2 linked regions of the Oreochromis niloticus genome follow. The protein of the gene in region 2 purifies or fractionates together with the protein of the main gene of each other region. This does not show direct contact. Links are inferred from orthologs where the notes say so. Each region holds a gene or a part of one and is shown on either strand. Other genes may lie near its edges.

Evidence for each region. Proteins that work in one complex are often made in the same cells at the same time.
Region 1: the proteins of chd3 (region 2) and znf512b purify together in Homo sapiens (affinity purification with mass spectrometry; 3 studies listed by BioGRID and IntAct, with this or other methods). This does not show direct contact. The link is inferred for Oreochromis niloticus from reciprocal best matches to the Homo sapiens genes CHD3 and ZNF512B.

What each region holds. Positions count from the first base shown.
Region 1 is NC_031984.2:15,933,653-15,941,481, reverse strand, and holds the start of znf512b (zinc finger protein 512B), read left to right. Parts: upstream 1-4,825; 5' UTR 4,826-5,915; exon of another isoform or gene 5,916-6,060; 5' UTR 6,061-6,249; intron 6,250-7,563; 5' UTR 7,564-7,565; coding exon 7,566-7,698; intron 7,699-7,829. UniProt on the Homo sapiens protein: Involved in transcriptional regulation by repressing gene expression. Associates with the nucleosome remodeling and histone deacetylase (NuRD) complex, which promotes transcriptional repression by histone deacetylation and nucleosome remodeling.
Region 2 is NC_031967.2:19,659,884-19,667,149, reverse strand, and holds the start of chd3 (chromodomain-helicase-DNA-binding protein 3), read left to right. Parts: upstream 1-4,256; 5' UTR 4,257-4,453; intron 4,454-4,571; exon of another isoform or gene 4,572-5,000; 5' UTR 5,001-5,024; coding exon 5,025-5,187; intron 5,188-5,844; exon of another isoform or gene 5,845-5,990; coding exon of another isoform or gene 5,991-6,099; intron 6,100-7,266.

The sequences.
Region 1 (7,829 bases), on a different chromosome or scaffold from region 2:
GTTTCAGTCTTTTGTCTGTGATCCTGTATACTGTATGTCACCTCTTACACACAGATACAACAAGAAGGACGAGCCTCTGTTTGTGTTCCGTCTTGTTTCTGTCCCTGATGTGACGCTGTACTGTCAAATGGTCAGAAAACAAGATACGGTTGAGATTCCCACTGTGAACGAAACCAGCACCTTTGATGTCCTTCTAGGCAACAGCAGACAACGACGATGACAGTGATGCTCAAGACAGATGACTAAATCAGTGAAATGAAACGTTAAAAAAAAACACAACTTCCAAAACATCTGCACCCACCATCTTCCAACTGTCCTTTTACAAGGACGCTTTGAGTAATGTGAGATATCGACTGTTAAATGGGAAGAAAACACACTTTTATTTTTAGATGAAACAATGTACTGTAAATACTGGTTTACATTGACTGATGATTTATGACCTGCAAAAAGAGAAAACGTTTCTCTGTTTTACAGATTCAAAAGTGGATGGAATGGAAAATGATGAAAGCTGTCATCATGTTTTTTGAATAAACTAACTGATATGAATTGTTGGTTGAGTTTTTAATCGGCAGCCATTGAAATGCATGTATTTGACAGTAAAATTACAATGGGGGGGAAAAGGCACAACAAATGAAGCTAAAAACAGGAGACAAGACAAAGGAAGGCATAAAAGAAAGAATGGAAAAGAAACAAAAAAACAAGCCCCAGAATAAGATAATCACACTTCAGCCTAATATACACTGCCAAAAACTATGATTTAACCCTTTATTTAGTCAATCTTACAATATAACGTCCAATATTTTTCCAAGATAGAGAGATATTTTAAGTTAAAATAATTTTCAAAACTACAATTGGTTCCTCTAACCTTCTTTAAACGCAGCACCTGATCGATTGGAACAGTTTTTGGCAAGCAGTGCTCCCATTATCAAATTTGACTACAGAGGCAAATGATAGATTGTCCTCTCTGTTTCAACAAATCAACCCGAGTCTCTCTTGGAAATGATAAATGGTTTGGGTATTTTGGAATAAACACAGCAGACACATCCAAAAATAAATGCAACATGGTTCCATTTTTAGTTTTGAAGCTTTTAAAAAGGTTGATATGATGGTCAAATAATGTTTAAGACTTCTAAAAAATGAATATGTAGCTTAAACTGTGAAATAACATTTTTATTTTCTTGCTAAACATAGAGAAATGCAACTTGTGGGTTTCTACATTCATTACACATAAGCAAAGATGAAAATGCATAGAAACATTGCATTTCATTATTTTGTTTCACACATGGTACAACAGTAATTAATTTCCTACACACAAACCTTTGTTTCAATTAAAATAACACTGTATCCATGCATGAAAAGAAGCAGGAAGAAGAATAAATTCTTATTAACACCTATCTATAACAGTGCAAGTAGGCACTGACAACCAAAATACACTCTGACACTATTCTACACACAACAAAACAAAACAATATAATCAACAATGAGCAATACCACTAAATAGCAAATTAAAAAGGATAATTCTTTCTACAATTAACTCCTGTTATTTGAATCTTCTTCATATTGGTTTAACATTTTATTCTTATAGCACCTTTTAAATTGATAAACATTTGTACAACTCTTAAGATGATCATGGAGACAATTCCACATTCTTATACCTATAACTGTTGGACTCATTTGCCTTTGTGTGGTCTGAGCAAACTGATGCTTAAAATAAAACTTCTTTCAACTATCCCCATTTTATGAACACAATACAAATAATCTTTGTAACTTAAGAGGCAATGTTTTATTTTTTGCCCTAAACATAATTAATGATGTCTGTAATTTCACTATATCTTCTAGTTTTAACAAACTATTTGTGTGTTCTCTATATTTAACATTATGCATAATTCGTAGCGCTCTCTTCTGTAATAGGTATAATGGTTTTATACTAGTCACAAACACAAACGCTTGGTTTTAAAAGGTCACAAAACTCACTCACCTTAGCAGTTTTCCCCTCAGAATCAAAAAGTGCTTCTAGACATTATACTTTGGCGTTATTACCTTAAACGGAGTGTGTTTATAATTTCAAGTGTGTAAGAATGTTCAGAAATAATTTTTTTTTAAGAAAAATAAACTCAATTTGAATTACAGTTACTGAATATTTGTTGCAGAAGTTGCATGTGCTTCCTGAACTGTGGGTCCATCTGTGACAACTCTGACTCTGTGAATGCAAAACAGTGCTACACACGATTATTTTGTCTGTGTCTTGCATGCGCATTTACGCACGCACACTCACAAGCACACACACACACTGGCATCCAATTACTGAGAGACATGAAGCATCTCACCTGTTAATAACAGGGCACATGTATGATAAACAGAGTCGGTGAACAGTAGCTTTCTCAAGCTTGACAGGAAAAAAAAAAATCTGGCGCAGATGGTTGGATGGTGCAGTTAATTGGATACTGTTTACTGTTAAGTGTCTTTTCTTTCTCTGTATGGCATTTGTAGATGAATGAATTCCTTTCAGAAAGCTGCTCTTTTATGATTATTCGCTAAAATACCCCAAAGCTGACACCCTTCTACCAGATTGTTTATCGTTATCTGCTAGTGACTTTGATCAGATGGATCTTAGTCATATGACAGCACTGAAATTGAATGAAAAACACTCTGTCCTCTCTCATCAGCTATATCTGTTGACAAGCCCTTTAACGGTTGCTTGAGTGAATTTCCTCTATGGAATAAACTTAAACAGCTAGAGAATTTAATTTTTACTGGCATCCGCCAGATGTTAATACAGAAAACTAGTACAAAACACATTAGCATGAAATAGTGCATGTCTGCTCCCCCGACTTTCCCTGGAAAGGTCAATAACAGTAAGCTGCTGGTTCAACTTTTCAAGAGCCTTTAAGTGCACAGACCACTCCACCTGGCCAATTTTATAAACTATTAAGTAGCCTTTTGCTCACTCAGCAGAGCAGGAGCGGGAACATAAATCACTGCCATAGTTGGAAGTCTTAATCAGGGGTCAGACTAGGCTCTGTATGAACTATTCATTAACAGCCATTAAGGAAAGCAGATTTCAGGATCAGCTGCATATTCTTTGTAGAATGGCAGCTGCCAATTGCACAGTGTCTTGGTTTGTCAGCTGAGTGCCCCCTCTGGCCTAACAGATCAGAGAAACCCCAACAATGTCTGTACCAACACGTGCCACTGCATAAAGTCCAGTCACACATTAAATACTGACAACGATGCTGCAGGAACCCAAATATTTCTATCCAGTAATCAACAAGAACTGTTTCTAACCCACAGGACTGCACTGCCCCCTTGTGGAAGAATACAGATGACCCTTGACTGAAAAGAATAATGAAACCCTATGAAAGCTTTTCAGTGGTAATAACTTAATGTTATATAGTCTAATCGTGTGAAATGAGTATCTACGACTACTCCCCACATGGGTTTATCTTGTCATCTTTTTATTGCACATGCACAAACATGAAGCCACATAGAAACCTAACCACTTTGTGTTAAATACCACAAAAGTGACTACAACTACTGAAATATATATATCTATATATATGTGTATCAGTAGTTGTATTTCTTGTTCCACTAGCCCACTTCTCACGGGTTTGTCTTGGTTTCCCAGCATCTGATGTGGATTTTAGTAAACCAGGTCACATCCAAGTTGGTATGCTTTTAGCTATAAGTGTCACGTTCCGCATATGTGTCATGCTCCAGATCTAGCCTGGGGACCCTTCCTGGATACATGCCCTGATAGGGACATATATACACTCACTGATCACCTTATTAGGTACACCTTGACAGTGACTGGACTGGCTGGACTGTCTTGGACCTCATTGCTTTGAGAACTGTCTTATTTTTTCCTCACAGAGGTTCATTATTATTGTAGGACCTCTGTGTTACAATATAAAGCCTTGAATAATTTTAGCCATTCTCCTCTGACCCCTGGCATCAGCTAAGCATATTTGCATGGGCGACTGCTGCTCACTGGATATTTTCTCTTTTTTGGATCATTCTTTGTAAACCCTAGAGACGGTTGTGTAGGAAAATCCCAGTAAGAGTTTTTGAAATACTCATAAAATCCCGTCTGGCAACAATGCCACATTCAAAGTCACTTAAATCACATTTCCTCCCTAGTCTGATGCTCAGTTTTAACTCCAGGAGTCCATCTTGATTAGAAGGATGTATATATGGACATACTGAGAAACAGCAAAGGAGTTGGCAAAAATGCTGGAGACTGTGATGAGGTTAATTTTACTTTGTATTTATTATTGCTTTTTATCTTAATTCTTTTTCATTCATTTTGTTTTGAAAAGTGTCCCATTGTGTACTAATGTTCCTTTTCTCATGCTCAAGCGCATTGAGGTCATTTTATTTTTAATCAAGAAAAAACTTTTTAATCGCTAATCTCTCCCCTTCTCAGAAATATTTATTAGGCATTATTGAAATACCAGTAATACTTTCACATTAGTCAAACCTGCTATAAAAATGAGGATCTACCGCCCTCCTCTGGCAATAACGATCCCACATAAATTACATCATGGTTCCTGATGATTTCCACTAATAGGAAATATCGGGTCATGATGACTGGCACCAATCAAAGACTAGCAGGGACCCTCTGTTGTTTTACTGGAAGTGAGTGACGTGGCAGTGATGCCGTGAATGATTAATTTAGAAAGAGAGAAGAAGAAGAAAAAAGATGTGGGCTCACACCATATGTGAAGCATTTATTATTCTGTGTTAAATGGGGAAATGCCAGTCTGTTCATATAGCCCGTAACCAGCTTGCAGCTATACAGCAATTAAAGACTCAGCAGTGTTATTGACTGCAGGCCTGTGTGCTGTTAAGCTTCCATTAACATAAAAAAGGACTAATGGCTTATGTCTAAATACTGACCTTGAATTGAAAACACAGCATCAAAGACTTGTATTCTTTACTAAAGTCTGGTTTTAAATGCAAAATATTGAGCCAATTAATAATTCACTTTTTTATGTGGAGCCTTTTGCTCTTATGTATAGCTTTACCAAATTATAGGCATAGTTGATATTTCAGAGGCTTTTTTGGAGGGAGCTACTTGCAGTGACTACAGCACCGGCCTGGTGTGACAGCTAGAACAGCCTGCCACAGACTGGACAAGAAGCCGTTATCGGCTGCGCAGGAGGACGCATGGGAAGAACATTTTGGCTGCAGCTAGATTAAAATAATTCGCTAAGGGTTTGTATACGGAATTTAAGCCCTGACCCTTTTTTTTTTGTCGTCAGGAGCGAGCGCCGTTACGTCGGAAGAGTAGCACGAACCGGTATTGCAGCGAGTTTATTAGCCAGAAAGCCCACTATTATTCAGCTCGAAAATTGATAATAATAACGCGAGAGTTTGCAAGTTGCCTCAAGACTGTAGTTGCAACTGTCAAAGGTGGAGTGGATACGCGCATGACCCAACACACATTACTGTAATACTGTACACGGCCGCCGAGATAATATCCGTATAAAAAAAACGAATAATCCCGAGGTAAGGACCCGAGGAGTGAACCAAACCCGACCGAGATTTGGCGCTTCTGCAGATTTTCCTTCGCTTCGTTTTCTTTTACTCTAACCAACAGACTCACAGCCGTCGAAATTACTGCACTAAACATATTTTTGTGCCTCCCTTTAGCTCCAGCCAGCGCAAGGATTTTTTTTTTTTTACTCCTCCTTCGTAATAAAGTCGCCATTTTGCTTCACTGCCTATATAAACCATCCCGTATTCTAATATTTTTTCTCAAGGAGTCGAGGACCTGTCTGTCTTTCCTGGCTATTTCTATTAATTTGGAGAGTTTAACGAGAAGACAGGGGTTGGAGAAGTGCCTCGTGGTATACATATTAATGCACGAAAGGAGAGGGAGAGGGGGGGCAAGGCAATTGGAAGCTGGAAATAAGGTGAAAGTATCCTGGATTTCTTTTCATGTTCAGACGAATTTGTAATTTCTCATCTCCTGCACTGCTCTTTTTTACCGTCCACCTGGTCGTCGTCTGCAGACTGGGGGGGACAGGACGACGGTGACGACTGTCCGCTTCCTTTCAGGCCCCCCAAGCTCACCCTGACCGCTCCTTGACGCACAGCAGGTGTGATTGCCATGTAACATAACGTTGGTGGGAAAAAAAAAAAACGCCTACTTTGGTGCCTGTCTCCTGCCCCTGACCTCCTCCTACCTCACGTGGATGACCCGGGGCCACCCGGGCTCTGGTGCTGGGTGACTGCTCGACAGTTAAGGTAGGTGTGGCCGGGGAGGAGGAAGAAAGTAGAGCACTATTTTAGTTAACCACATAAATAGGCAACTCAGACCTTGTTGTAGTTGTCAAACACAGCGTGGCAGTGTGCCACGTGCGGTGTTAAAATACTTATCTCTAGGTTGGTCTCTCAGCAGATTGTGAGAGGAGATGTGAGTGGGTGTCACGGGGTTTTGTTGTGTCTAGCTAAGTGTATGGTAATAAAGTTTCTGTAGCAGGCTTGTGTTTACATGTAGAATTAATCGTTTATGAAAACCCCAGCTGCAATGTATTTATTCATTTATTTATTTAATAGGAGGATGCTGTTGAAACACTGTGGCAAATCTAAAAGGGGGTTATCCTACGTAATTATTATAGGGTTGCACAGCAAGACTCACCATCAATCAGCCATATCTTTCTCACCACATCTGTTTATTTTAAGTAGTTATGAGCTGATCTGTAGCGCATCTCTTCATGCTCTGATACATCATACCGGAAAAGGAAGATGCCTAGTGTTAATGTGTGAAAGATTTCATCAAGTTGCACCCTGCAGCAAGTTCACTGTGCATAGTCAAAATCATCAAAACTTTACAACTACTGTGAACGTTTTATCTCTGTGGTATTCACGCAGTGAATTGCACAGCATGTAAACGGACACTGAGTGGCCCCCATTGAGTGACCCTTTGTGTGCGTTGTAATTCATTAGGAGAGTGACATGAATGTGTGCTAAGAGAAACCATGTTGGATTGTAATCAGTACCACTCACCATAATTAGCAATTGTCAGCCTCTATTCAGAAGGCTGTTCCTTCCTGATGGGGAATGATGTTTAAGCACAGAGAGTCTGAACTTGACATGTACTATATAGCCATGGGGATTGATGGATGTAATGTATCTCACTTGACCTGAACGAGAGATCGCTGGTTTTCATAGTAAAGAAAGCTTGCACAGCTGCTCAGGAGAGTAGCTTTGTATCCCCACCCTCTCTTTGACTCACCTTTTGTCTAATGGGCAGAGCATGAAGTTAGTGTGCGAGTGAGAGTATTGATTTTGAAATGAAAACATGGAAGGTCACACCCTCATTACCACACGTGTGCCTCCGCTCAGATAACCTTCAGGCCAATAGCACTGATGGCCAACATAAAGAAGCTGCATTATTGAACAAGGAGACAGCATCATCACACGCTATTGATGCAGCAGACTTTGCTAATAATGTTTTGACAAACAATGGTTTCGGATTAATGAGCAGCAGAAGCATTTCCGATATTACCTTTAGCTATGTCTCCTGTGTGTTTGTACCCCCTCGTTTGTACATTGCAGGCATGGAGAGCCCAAGTGGGCCCAAGCTTGGGAAGCTGTCCTCATCAGGGCTGTCGAGGGGCCGAACGCCCAAGCATGGACATCCCCAGGAGCAAGTTAGAACCATGTCAAGCCCTGAAAACCACAGCAAACATAGTGAGTGACGAGCCGCTACATTTTGTTGAATGAATAGAGTGTGTGAGTTCAGGTTTTGTTGGTATGACCCAAGTTTGCTCCTGGACTGATTCTAGGATGAAGTTCATGAAGCGATACAGTGTGAAGAGTAG
Region 2 (7,266 bases):
ATGTGTTTTGGAAAAATAGACCGCATAGATTAAGTGTTACACACTGGATAAGACGGTTGATGTCGAACTGGAATGTTGGCATGTGAATATAAATATCTGGTTTGCACTTTTCTCTCAAAGTAGAGTTTGGAGGAGGGGCTAATAGTTTCTTTTCTATTCAGTTCCTATGTTTTCCTGCGTTTTTTTATTATTGCTGTGAAATATTTTAAAAGACTTTAAAAAGAATGTAGACTCAAGATTTATGTGAGTGATTCCCGAGAAAGGAAAGATCAAGTTAAGACACGATATGATAAGATCAGACAAACACTGTTCAGCAAACAACCCGGAACAGATGTAACTACTGATGTTAAAAAAAAAAGCATGATTTTGTAGAAGATACGCTCTTGTGCAGCAGCATTTCATCATATTCACTGTATATCGACGCATCTCTATGTGAATGACTACAGAGTGAAAATAGAGCCTCAGCTAGGTGGTGTGCATAGTTTTTTAAATCTGAACTCATAATCCACAGATCTTCCTGGGTGGTTTTGTAGTGGCAGTGAGTGCTGGCCTTGCTGCTGACTGTGCTGATGGTATCTTGAATCCTTAGAAGAGGGATGACTGGCATCACAGTCCTAACTAAAGGTGAGTAGCATATTCTGATTTGTATCCTCTTTATCCTTCAAAACTCCACGAATAGCATGCAAAAGAAGGCTATTTTGTGTTTTTGACCCATCTGCGGCGAAGTGTAGGAGCACCCACATTAAAAAGCTTTTAATATGTGAGGTTAAAGTCATTATCAGTGGTATCCCTAACCCTAGTGCTGTGTTTTGGAGAGAAGCATATCTATCCACCCACCCATCCATCTAGCTTCTTCTGCTTATCAGATTCAGCGTCGTAATTGGAGCCTGTCTCAGCTTCTTGAGAGAACTTTCTTTTTAAACTTAAAATTACACATTTTAATAGTTTAGGTTAAAATGATGATCACAGATGATGACCTAAACCTTTCTTTTACTGTCCGAAGAAGCCTTAACCCTAAACCTAGATGTGTCATGCTTTATCTGGTGGACGTTAAGAGACTTAAACTTTGCTGATTATGTCCTAAACAGTCTTGATATAGTTGGATAGCTCAGGAGTCTTTCATCACCCTCTTCCTCTCCCTCTTATGTCTCTGATTAAACTTTCCCAGAAATCATCATCTGTAAATGTAGAAGTCTACAACTGGAGCCCATTAACTGGCACAATTAAACCCAAAAAAGCACTGTGTCCCACCTTTACTTTTTAACACTTTATTACAACTGTTTCACTGCTCAGGGAATACGCTGAGCCAAAACTCAACTGATCAGCACTTCTTCTGCTGCTAATTCAATCCCACACCAGCGTCTGCTGGATTGGCCCCTGCTGCACGCCTGTTATTTAAGCATTATCTGCTCCCCGGGTCGCCTCAGTTCAGACAGCTCAGCTCTGAATGGAGCTCAGGAGCCGGTGTCTTCCTCTGTGTGTCACACTGCATAAAATCTGGGTTAGCTGGAGCGCAGCACCCAGGGGAGGCTTTTCTCTCTCATCCTCGACATGTCTCCCTGCCAAACGGACACGGGGAGTGTTGGTAGTGGCGGGCGGGCGGGCGGGGAGGGGGAAGGCGGGTAGTCACAGCAGAGTAGTGCAGTATGTCAGGGCCTACGGCACATGAGAGCCCTGGCTGGTTTCATCCTTTTTTTTTTCTTTTGCAAAAGCATAGTGAGAAACATGCACGGTTATGAGTACAGATACCTCATTCACACACTCGCACACATAGATAGTGTGGGTTAGGGTACGTAAGCTACACACATACACACACTCACACACACACACACACACACACAAAGCTTCCACATCACCAGCCTCTCAATCTGGCAACCACAGACACCTCAGTGGCCAGAGGCTTAGTGGGTGGGTGGATGGGGGGACTCCAGTCACACACACACTCTGATACACTTCTCGTGAACAGACACACACAGACATGTCTCCTCTGCCCATGTTGTCTTGCGTTGCACCGTCTCTCTCTTGGCAGATGTGGCCTTTGGATCAGACACTAACAAAATTCCTCTCATTTGTGGGCGCGGGGCGAGCCGAGCCGGAGCAGCTCGAGCACCTGTTGCAGCAGCAGCAGCAGAGAGGAGGAGGAGGAGCGTGCTCAGCAGGCGAGGCGTAACTGAAATGCTTGTTTACATGATACCCGGTTATTGGTGTGGGAGCCACAGCTGACAGACTGACACATAGCGTAGAGACGGAGCGCGGAACTTGGAGACATGGAGGCTTTACGAGATGTCACAGCGGCCGGGCTGCCTGAGCTGTCGGCCGCGTGGTCGGGATGGCTTTCAGCTTCTGACACTTTTATTTAGCGCATATTTCCACATTTTTCCCCTCCTGCGTTCACTTATAGATCTGTTGGGACAACAGGAGGGTTAGAGAAGGTTGTGTCATGGTGGGGTTCAGGGAGATTTAGGCGTGCTTGCACTGCAACATTTAAGTTATCGTCATATAAAACTTCCTTAGGTTACGATGTGAGCAGGACTTTGTTCAACAGTGGATAACACAGCTCTGCATGTAAAAATAGAGTAGTAATACCTGTGTGTACCTACTATTTTAATTACTGTATATAATTTTATAGACATATAACTTTCTTTAATTTTAGCTGAAGTGGATTTTAAACTTTTAAAAACATACTTTTCTTCCTTTTTTAAGAGATAGCAAGGTGCTATTTGAATATCTCTGTGGGTGTCATGTGTGTACATGTGGCTTGTAGTGTAAACCACAATGTGTGGTCAGTAAGACTAGAAAGCTGGTTCACTGAGGTGACAGTGAGCCTGGATTCACACTGCTTGCATTTTTTAAATTGCATGTGCTCGGCATGCAAACTGAATGGAATGTAAAAGACCTTTTGACTTTGGTGTGGTCTGACCCCCGAGGCCTCCTCAGGGAGCTCAAGCTTCAGGTGCTACTGGGTGGGTGGCACTTTAACTGTGGGGTGGTTGAGCAGGTGACTGTACGCCAAAGGCTGCTGCAGGTGCACAGTCTGAGTCTGCCCCCAGGCCATTTCCTCCACTCTTACCCTGCCTTCTCTTTATACTATACTTTCAAAATAAAGGCTGAAAATACAAAAAATAAATGTTACTACATATATTAAACCCTTTCACAGTGTGTCTTTGGTCCTGTCTTTCTCCCCTCACCCTCACGTGGTCACAGCAGATGGCTGCCCCTCCCTGAGTCTGGTTATGCCAGAGGTTTCTTCCTGTTAAAAGGTATTTTTTCCTTCCCACTCTCACCAAGTGCTTACTCATAGGGGGTAGTGTGATTGTTGAGGTTTTCTCTGTATTATTGTAGGCCCTTTACCTCATATAAAGGTAAAGACCCTTTACCTTTATATAAGTCTACTGTTGTTGTGATTTAGCACTTTATAAATAAAATTTCACACTCTTCCCTCTAACTCTGACAAATGTTCAGACACTTTAGGCCCATCTACAGTTTGCTGAAGCGAATTAAACAGTAAAGACCTGAACAGCTTATTGGAACACAGGTGCTGAGATATTAAAGGGACCAAGGGTCTATGACTACTAGATATTGGCTCACTGGGAAACAAGAGATTGCGACAAATGTGTAATTTGTTCATTATTTATTCAATATCGCTTTCAAATGAAATAGGAATCATGTATTTTAAAACATAATGCACCTTTTTAAAATGTATTATGTAAATTCTTTTTTTAAAAACATATATTTTAATCTTTAGTGAAGTCACAGTTTCTCCTGCTTGACCCTGATTTTCTATGTGAGGCTTGAATGCGAAAAAAACAAAAAAAGCAAATGAAAATTCCTTTTGTCAAAACAAAAGTGCCCCCGGGCAGCCACCGAGGGCTGGCCGGGGTCTAGGCATTCCCATGGCCTTACTGCCATCCAGTTGTCACAGCTCGGCGCCAACGAGAGCGCGACTTTACAGCGAGAGCTCGGAAAATCTCTCGTGGCCGTTTTAAACGCCGGTGCGAGAGACGGCGTGCGCACTTGGAGCCGTTTCTCGCGGTGCTTTCTAGAGGTGGAAACGCGGTTCTGCATACCCCGACCTGTTTCCATCCCCACCACAAGTAGTTAATTTTTTAAGCAATACAATCTGATGTAAGTCTGGGCATGGCTGCGGCAGATTTTCCCAACCCCCCTTTCTCACTCACTCTCTCCCTCTCTCTCTCTCCCTCTCTCTCAATCCCTCCCCAGCACTCACACACACGCACACTCTCTCTCACACACACATATACAAGCGCGTGCACAACCCTACTGCTGCTGCTGTTCCAAAATAATTTCTTTCCTTTTTTTTCTTTTTTTTGAAGCACAACGGTGGGGGCTCCGGAGAATATAAGGTGGCCATATTTGATAGATTTGTGTCGGGCTCTGCAATGCAGAAAGCGAGAGTTGTTGCGTGTGATCTGGCAAGTGACAGTGACACCAGGCAAGTCTGTCGGATTCGTGACTGATCCGGACTTGAGGGGGTGGGGTGGGGGGATAGAGAAAGAGAGAGCGAGAGAGAGGGAAAAAAGAGAGGAGGGAAGGGGGGGTCAGAGAGAAAAGAAACAAACAAGTAACAATGTAACTTACATGCAGTCACACACCCCTTTTTTTTTTTGCTCCTTGTAACAATGTGTACGTTTTTGAGGAGGGAGGGGGCGCGCGGAGGGAGAAAGAGAGAAGGAGAGAGATAGAGAAAGGAGGAGGGGGGTGCGTTCTGAAATAATATAGTCAGCCATTTTTTATGTAAGGGGATTTTTTTTTTCTTATTGGGGGGGTTGTTAAAAAATAAATATAAGAGGGCGGCCATCTTTGTTGCTCTGCCTTGGTGTAAAATATTCCAAAACGCCCCCCACTTTTTCCTGAGCCGATTTGAATATTAAATAAATATCATATAATCGGACAAGAACGCGCTTTTTTCTCCCCCTTTCTTCTTCTTCTCCTTCTTCTTTCTCCCCCCCTTTTTTTTTTTTTTTTTTTTGAAATACAAGGACGGATCCAATGACAGGGATATAATGTCCTCTCCTCTCCGGTCCTGTGAGGAAGACGAGGGCATGGTGGTTAATTCCGAGGGAGGAGATTTTGATGAAGAAGACGACGACGGGGACCTGGACGAGAACGCAAGCGACATAAACTCGCCGGCGGCGCCTCGGGAAACTGCAACACCAGCCGCGCCAGGTACAGTAAAAAACGGGAAACTGGCGGACAGGTCGGGAGCGCGCACACGAAATAAGAAATACACACACTCACGCGCGCTTTTTTTTGCTGCTTTTCTTAGAGGCACAAATATAAGATAGAAAAGCGCGTGATGGAAGTGTCCGAAACCCGCAGATCTTCTTTTTTAATCCCCCCCCCCCCCCCCCCGCCTCCTCCAACACATCCCATCCAGGTCCACATCGGTACAGTAGAAAGCTGCGAGATCTCGAGTGCGCGCAGACAACAACAACAACAAAAAAGAAAGAAAGAAAGCCTCCTTTGACACTTTTTCCTTCCTCTTAAAAAAAGCCAGCCGCACTCAGGCTGCTGTCCTGTTATGGCAGCTATACGTTGCTGTAGGTGCCATATTTGCAGCTGCGAGAGCGCGCTGTGCAAGCACAAGTCCAGTTTGCAACAAAAACGCCACAAACTCACACACACAACCTACTGTATATGTGTTTCTGCTGTGTTGTTGTGTTTTGCACTTTGTCCTCACTCCACTTCCTCTTTGCGTCTAGCACATCCCGAGCAAAAGTTTAAACTGAACTTGGCACCGCTGTTGGGGCTTTGCCTCCCCCCCTCACTTCGTCGCAATCTCACTTCACAGCCGTGAAAAGTTGTTGAAAAGAAAAAAATAGTCCCTTGCTTTTTTTTTTATTGGTGGGGTTCTTGGACGTGCAGGACTTGCAAATTGTTTTTAAAAAGCAGAGGTCTGCGGGGGTAATGAGGTCGCCCTGAAGGACTGGCACACACGCTAACATGGACTCTCCTCTTGGCCGGAGGCTATGTATATATCTGATAGCCGTCTGGGGAGACGATGCAGTCATAGAGCCGGGCGGAGAGTGTGTGAAATCGCGGCGAGAGGCATAAACTGCCTGGTTGTCGCTGTGACAGGTCAGGACAGGACAGCACTGCCCCGCACGCCGCTCGTTTTCTTGCAAAGGTGCCTATTGTGCGGACCTGCTCGCTCGTTACCCGTATTAAACGTCTATTATCGGGCATGTTTGGTGCCTCGGAGCTGGGTGTTAGTGTGTCTGTGTCTCATTCTGTTTCTTAACCGCCCCCTTTCGCAGCAGCAACATACAAATATTGATCGCGTCAGGCGATTAATGACTAAATGACATTCTGGAAGTTTCTGTGGCAGTGAACTTGCACGGGGGGGGCAGTGAAAGTGAAGGGTGCAGAGAGTGGAGGCTGGTTAACCACACTGCAACAGTGGAGATCAGATGCACGGCTGAAAGCTGCCGTCGTGGGCTGTACTGTGAGCTCTGGTTTGGATGTGACTGAAGCACAGAGTTAAAAGTCAGCTCGGAGCTCCGAGTGTCAGGACGGCAGCCTGCACAAATCATCCCACTGCGCTCTTTTTTTTTTACTTCATTAGCTCGAGGGCTCCGTGGACCTGCTGTCACGCAGTGCCAGACAGATAAATTAGTGTCGAGGCCTCCCGGCGGGAGGACCTTAACCCCATCGCGACCTTGTTTCCAGCAGCGGTCACAGCGGTGGTGGTCGGGGGCCTGAGGGGAGAGAAGTCGTTCCAGTTCACCGCTCCGGCGGCCTCTGAATCACCGAGCCCCGCGTGCGTGCCGCTGCCGCCCCCGGCGTGCGTTCGGCGGCTGCACGCTGCACGCAGACGGGGGAAGTGGGGTTGGCTGGTGGACGGGGTGGGAGTGAGGAGGAGGAGAGTGGTGGTGGTGGTGAGGGGATGGCTGTTGCTGCTGCTGTTGCTGGTGGTGGGGGGAGCGCACACCAACAAAGGCAGGCAGACAATAAAAGCCGACAAATCGCAGCCTGTGAAACGGGACGAGCGGCTGGCGGCGACCGCAGCCCATATTTTGGTCATGCTTCAATGCTTTGCTGCTTTCTCCGTGAAGCCCGGGCTGCTATCTGCCTTCGTCTTCCTGTGTTTCTCTTGTCATTTCCAAGCCAGGTCGGGCTGCAGGTTAAATTGCTTTCTCCCCCCGTGGCGATGTTTCCCACGTACAATCGGGAATAACTGGCCTGACATTTTCAGATCTTTTGCCACATAATGTCCGCTGGTTTCAGTTGCTGCACAGTGGCACA